Linked DNA regions of Coturnix japonica. The protein of the gene in region 1 interacts with the protein of each later gene in a pairwise test. Links are inferred from orthologs where the notes say so. Each region holds a gene or a part of one and is shown on either strand. Other genes may lie near its edges.

Region 1 (4,263 bases):
AGTTACAAAGGAGAATAGCAGAACTAGGGCATCCTATTTGCAAGCCCTACTGGTAACACGGGACAGTCAGTTCCAAAAATAAATTCCCCATCTGATTTGTGCTAAAGCTTTAATCTCATTACTTTTGGACGGTGATAACAGATCAAAGGTATCTATAAGATGGTAAGATTTCAGGCACCGATGTGTTTCGTTGAGCCTATTAAGTTACATAAGAATAATAAAATGCCTGTTCTGAGTGAATAACCTGTCATGGTGATCAACTTAAAGAATTGGTGGCATCAGCTACACAGTGCAGCACCCACAGCAGGGAAAATCCCTGCATGAAGGACTGCAAGTTTCATCAGACAAGAGAAAATGGCTTATTATACTGCTGCCCAGATTTACCTGTCAACATAAAAAACTTAAGTGCTACATAAAACAGTACGATGTTGGCTTAGCAATGTGTCAGAACGAATGGTGTGAATGACCAGACCCTTGCAATCATTCCTATTGATGGCAGCAGGTTCTAAACCAGGCTTGCTTAATCGCATACTGCAGGCAATGCAAAGCACAGAGAAAAAGCCATGCTCAAATGCCAGAGATACAGACGCTGGACCTACACCCAAACACAATTAATAATGCATGTCTCCATTCTCGAGACATTCAAACCACCTATTTGTATACACGGTCAGTATATTGGAAAGAGCATCATACATCTCTTTCATTACCTCGGGGAACATTCAGTGCATTCCTTTTTACCCTTTCCCTTGTATTTCTTCAAGGAAGCAATGCATAGGATCTAAAATCAGCACTTGTGATCAGACACGCTATATGCTGTGCTATCATAATTCTAAATATCCAGAAAACTTGGCAGATGGCAATTTTCCTCCACGGAGACTGTAGCAGGGGTGGCAGGGGAGTGAAGTGCTTCAAGAAGCTCCTACACGCCACGTTCAGTAACTGCACTTACAGGCACGCCCACAATTAACTAAAACAGTATGACTTTTCCTAACTGTGAAGGCAGCCATCCATCAAAACACCAAGCCAATGAGTTCTGAGTCATCTCCTCTCACCCTAAGACTTCATTTAGGATTCCAGTCCACCTCCTCTGACCCAAAACCTAATTAATCTGAGGAATCCCTCAGGGACGGCTCACATTTATTTCCCCATAAGCGAACCCCCTCCGCCTCCTCAGACTGCTCCCGGAGCGGGGCGGGGCGGAGGCCCGGCCCCTCACAGCAGCGTTACTCCGTTGTTAGGCAACGGCCGTGCAACAAGCGGCTCCCGCACAACGCCCCACCGCCCCCACCGGGCACACAGGGCACACAGAGGCCAGGCCAGGCCAGGCCAGGCCCCGTTCCCCCGTTCCCCCGTTCCCCGCTCCCCGCACCGCCTGCCGGGCCCATCCCGTTCCCCGCCGCTCAGCCCCGCGGAAGACAGCGAGGCCGCCCGCTCGCAGCCCGGGGCGGACGCTCGACCTCCGCTCTGCGGAGCCGGGAATGGGGCAAAACGGAGCGAGGCAGCACCGAGCGCTGACCCGCCCGCACCGCCGCTCACCGGCACACACAGCCCCGTCCGCCTCCCGCGCCGGTCGCCACCTCCCCGGAAGCCGGCGGGCGGCTTTCTGCCGTCCCGGAGCTCATTCTCGCTAGCGCCGCCTGTCGCCGCGGAGGACCCGGCCCGGCCGCTTGGCCTCCACCTCCCGGCTTCCCCGGGCCTGCGCGGACCGCAGCAGCTCCCCGTTCCGCCCGGCGAGTCGCGGCCTGGCTCGGGCCGCTGCGGCTGCGGAGGGGTTGGGCGGAGCGGGCGCGGGGCGCGATGGCGGCGGCGAGCGGCTCGTCCGGGAGCGGGATGGCGCAGAAGACGTGGGAGCTGGCCAACAACATGCAGGAGGCGCAGAGCATCGACGAGATCTACAAGTACGACCGCAAGCAGCAGCAGGAGATCCTGGCGGCCAAACCCTGGACTAAGGAGTGAGAGCGGGGCCGTGGGGCGGGCGGGAGAGCGGGCGGCGGGGCCGGGGGTTGAGGCGAGGCGAGGCGAGGAGAGGCCCTGAGCGCTAAATCGGCCTCTGTCCCGCCGCAGCCACCATTACTTCAAGTACTGCAAGATCTCGGCGCTGGCCCTGCTGAAGATGGTGATGCACGCCCGCTCGGGGGGCAACCTGGAGGTGATGGGGCTGATGCTGGGCAAGGTGGACGGGGAGACCATGATCATCATGGACAGCTTCGCTCTGCCGGTGGAGGGCACCGAGACCCGCGTCAACGCGCAGGCGGCCGCCTACGAGTACATGGCCGCCTACATCGAGAACGCCAAGCAGGTATGCTGCGGTGGGGGGGATATGGCGTTGCTCTTAACTTCTTGCTTTTGGAAGTCTTAAGTCTGAAAGTGCAGTAAAATTCTCAATTGCGGAGGGAGGGTGGTCCTCCCTCTCTGCCCCAGTAATGCCACAGCTGAAGTATTCTGTCCAGTTCTGGGCTCCTCCGTTCAAGAAAGACAGGGAGCTTCTGGAGAGAGTCCTGCAGAGCGCCACTAAGATATGAGGGTTCTGGAGCATCTCCTGCATGAGGAAAGGCTGAGAGAGCTGGGACTGTTCAGCCTGGAGAAGGCTGAGGGATCTCATTACTGTTTATAAATATCTAAAGTGTAGGAGTCAAGTGGACACAGCCAGACTCCTTTCAGTGGTATGCAGCAACAGAATAAGAAGCAACAAAACAAATCTGCAACACAGGAAGTTCCATACAAACAGAAGGAAGAACTTTATCATCAGAGTGATGGTGCCCTGGAACAAGCTGCCCAGAGGGGTTGTGGAATCTCCTCTGAAGATATTCAGAACCTGCTTGATGTTTTCCTCTGACCCACTATAGGCAATCTGCTTTTAGCAGAGGGGTTGGGCTAGATGGTTATCCCCAGAAGTCCCTTCCAATCCATACAACTATGTGATTCTGTGAAATATTAATCTGCTCTGTGGCTGATGCAGAAGCTGACATGGCATATGAGCACTTGCTGGCTCAAATAAGCACTGGAATCCCTCAGACTGTCCAAGCTCAAATAGTTTGAGGCCTAGTTTACCCTTTGATTTGTCATTAATCCTTAAAGTATTTTAACTCAGCTGAAATTAGAGGGTCCTTACATAGTGTAGATAAAGGTACAACTATTTAGGTTATTTTGGAGAGGTGTCACAGCTTTCTGTGGGTTTAAGGACATTTAACTAAATTAGGTTGGATCGTGACTTCAGAAGAGAGTAAATACAGCCCAAAGGTAAGGATGTTCTAAGGCCTGTGGTGGGTTTTTTTGTTGTTTTTCGTTAACTTATCACGCTTCTTTATGAGAAAATTTCTAAGTGATCTATTTAACGTATTACTTTAATATATTATTACTTATATTATTATTACTTTAATATATTATTAAAGTAATGATTTATTGTATTCTTACTGAAAAGTATAGAAAATGAAAGGGTGTTTATATCTGAAGATACGTTTGTACTACCCAGTTCTTAGGTAGAAAAATTGTCTTAAGTATAGAGCATGGCATCGGTATTTACATGTACGGTTAGTTCATTTGACTTTTAGAACAGCCCAGGTTTATATGGGAGAATTCATGATACGAAAATAAAGCAAAAACAATAACTCAGCTTTACTGGAGCTCTGACAGTGCGTCCTGGCTGCTTCACATCTGAGGTTGGAAAGCACTTTGTCCTGGAGTAACTCTTTTTAATGTTAGATTACATGTTGATAATAAGAGCACTCTGCATAAGTGCTCTACAGAAGCTAATGTTGCAATTACTTGCTCCTCCATAGGCAGGATCTGATGATAAAATAGTTAAAAGAAAAATGTTATTTGTTTCAACGACTCAAATGTTCAGTTGGGTAGATCGTGTGTTCTGTCCCTCTTAATAGTTTCCAGATTTAACCTTCCTGGTATGCTCAGTATTTGGCAAAACCAAGCAGCTGAATGCATTGAACACACTGCCATGTAGGATGTACATAAATCCTTTCACTCAATATTGATCAGCCAGTACACAGTTCTTGGCCAGTTACAATAAACTAGGTGCGCTGGCTGTTTATTCACCGTGATTAACAATCAATTTTGATTGGTTTTGTTTGTTTGTTTGGGGTACTTGCTGAGATATCCCGGAGTATTATTTGGGAACTTCTTTTATAGTTAAGCAAAATAAAGTGCATGTTGAATATTTCAAGTTAGCATACAGGCTGTGTATATTCTTTTTATCCTCTTGCTGCGTTGTAGTGTGCTGGAAGGCTCAGTAGAGGGCAGCCCATGCTT
Region 2 (2,799 bases), on another chromosome or scaffold:
CTTGCACCCACCTTGCTGCTGTATCCCCATCTCCATTCCACCCCAATGGCAACGGGACAGCAGCACCCAGCAAAGCAGCATCACAAAGGGCAGCCAGGGGCTCACAGTGTGTGCATGCATGTGTCCCTTCTCACCTGGGACATGGACATATATAGGGCATACCTGTCTCCTCCCACCCCCACGTGGCACCGCCGTGTCCCTTCACACCTCCCCATATGTTACATGTGTCCCTTTGCACCTCCCCAGCTGTGCATCCATGTCGCATCCCCACGCAGGTGCAAATTTGTCCCTGCATCCTGCCCAGCCAGACACGCAATTATTGCCACTTATTGCAAGAACTGCTGCTCCATCCCCACGCCAGCAGGGACCCCTTTGCAGGGAGGTGCACGTATCCTGCTCCTCACACAGACTGCTCTTTGTTTCACCATTTTACAAGCCATGTTCCTCCTGGAACAAGTTCCTCCTGGAGAGGGAGGTGTGAAGAGAAGCTGTTTCACCACCTCCATCCTTCCCATCTCCTAATATCCCTAATGGGCATCACGGGTTTTCTGCCCTCCCATGAGCAAGGATAGGGCAAAGGGCTCCAGCACTGCACGGTGGGGCTGCCCAAGGGGGTTCTCCCCTCTAACACACACAGCATTCTGCTCCCAGCCCCACAACCGGGTCCCTGTGGGGTCCCCACAAGCAGTGACACCGCCATGACCCTGGGAGGAGCAGTTGGCATTGATTGCCAATGCCAATGCCAACAGTTGCTGTCATCAGGCAGCAATCATTGCTGCTGGGAAGTTCTGCCTGGGAGGCTTCCAGCACTCAGCATGTCCCAATCTGCAGAGGTTTGATGTCTGCTGGACTGATTGACATGGGATGCTGGTTGCTGACCGGGTTGGGATGTATCCCCCAGCAGCCCTGGGCAGGGGGGCAACCATCTCCATCCAGAACCAAACATCAGGGCAGACACCACATCCCTCTTGGAATGAACCACATCTACAGTCTTACCACCATCACCCTATGGAGACCCTCACCCACAATGTCCCATAGGCTCCAGCAAAACCCCTCTTTCTTCATCTCCACCAAGAACCCCAAATGGGGAATCCCCTGCAGCCCTACAGACCTGCTCAGCTGGCTCCCTGCAAAGGTCTCACTCGGTGTTTCCTTGTTTTGCCCCAACGAGTCTGATGTGTGTCCCTCCCTCCTTACCGCCAGCAGCAGTCGCTTACCGGAGCTGGGCATGATCCTGGGCGTGCTGCGTTCTTCGCGATGGCCTTGCACAATTCCTGAGGTTATCACCCCAAAGTTATTCCAAGGTGTCATAAATCGTAACTCAGGGAGGGTATAAAAGAGCCCTCCCAGCACCGCGCAGCCACCGCCGCAGCCACAATCCTGCTCACACCGCTGTCAGAGGAACCCCACGACCGTCTGTTGGTGAGTGGTCACCCCCAGTTGGAGCTCCTGGAGGGCTCTGCTTCATCTATAATGTTTGCTTGGTTTTTATTCCCTAGTGTGATGAAGACCGACCTGGAGCTCGCGCTGGAGTGCGCCATCAATATCTACCACCAATACGCCATTCGGAACCCAATGGATGATTACCTGAGCCGGAATGAGTTCTCCATGCTGCTGAAGGAGAATGCCAAACCCTTCCTCTCTGACACTGTGCCGGTGAGTTGGGCTGCTCAGCATCCACGTGCCTGTGGGAGATCCGTGGGTGCTGCTCTCCTGGGGCACAGGGGAGCTGAGACCCTCTGAAAGGGATTGAGACCCTCTGAGGGGGATTGAGACCCTCTGAAGGGGATGGAGGATGAGCTGGGTAGTTTTGGGTGGACTATCCCCAAAATGGGGTCAGTGATGGGGAGTGGGGAGCCAGGATGAAGCTGTGGGGTTGTGGGGGACCCCATGCCCTGACTCGTTTTGTCCTGCAGCCCAACGTGTCCATTGATGAGTACATCAAGCAGCTCTTTGCCAAATCTGACAGCAACCACGATGGCCGCCTGAAGTTCACCGAGTTCCTCACCACGCTCAGCCTCGTGGCCATCGATGCCCACAACCGGTCCCACAAGCAGCCTGGGGACCATGGCCACGACCATGGAGATGGCCACAGCCACGGCCACGGCCACAGTCAGCACCATTAAGGCTGTTCCTGCAGAGCTGCCCTCCTCCAGCAGCAGCATCACCCCTATCTGCCCAAGGGGTGCCTTCTGCTTTTGCCTATGACACTGAAATAAATTGTCTTTCCCTGTGCACCAAATTCAACTGTGATGTGTCCTGCACTCTAGGGAGGGGGGGAATGGGACATGTTCCAGCCCAGCCTGCAGCCATGGGGTATCAATGAGACATGGGGACACGGGAATACACAGGGCATCCCCATCCATCCTACTGTTCCCTGAGTGGGAGCAGAGCAGCGCACAGCTCATGCTGGGCTGGTTCATGTGGCAGCATTGCTGTGTCCTGCAGTGCCCACACCCCAGTAGGTTCCCACCAGATCCACAAGCCCCTTGCACAGCATTGCTTGGCCCCTGCACCCCACACCTCATCACTGTGTGTCCTGAGCAGCCCCTCCTGCCCCAATCTGGGATCTCTGGGTGCTGCTGAGACCCAACTCAGCTGGTAACCCTGAAGTGGAGGTGATGCTTTTGCAGCCCACAAAGCAAGCAGCACTTTCCTGCAAGCCACCATGCATCAGAGGGGCAACAAATGATGCAGAGGGACTCTGGGGGTGCAGTGCTGCACTGTGCAGCCTCATGCTTTGTCTGTGCAGGGTGGCAGCTCCTTGGAGTCCAGCAGGTCCATGTGGCATCACATCAT

Evidence for each region. The genes of interacting proteins can lie anywhere in the genome.
Region 2: the proteins of COPS5 (region 1) and protein S100-A9-like interact in a two-hybrid assay, tested with the Homo sapiens proteins (2 studies listed by BioGRID). The link is inferred for Coturnix japonica from reciprocal best matches to the Homo sapiens genes COPS5 and S100A7.

The regions. Positions count from the first base shown.
Region 1 is NC_029517.1:104,436,294-104,440,556, reverse strand, and holds the start of COPS5 (COP9 signalosome complex subunit 5), read left to right. Parts: upstream 1-1,430; 5' UTR 1,431-1,797; coding exon 1,798-1,952; intron 1,953-2,064; coding exon 2,065-2,299; intron 2,300-4,263. UniProt on the Homo sapiens protein: Probable protease subunit of the COP9 signalosome complex (CSN), a complex involved in various cellular and developmental processes.
Region 2 is NC_029540.1:1,212,502-1,215,300, reverse strand, and holds protein S100-A9-like, read left to right. Parts: upstream 1-1,293; 5' UTR 1,294-1,422; intron 1,423-1,499; 5' UTR 1,500-1,503; coding exon 1,504-1,656; intron 1,657-1,916; coding exon 1,917-2,126; 3' UTR 2,127-2,243; downstream 2,244-2,799.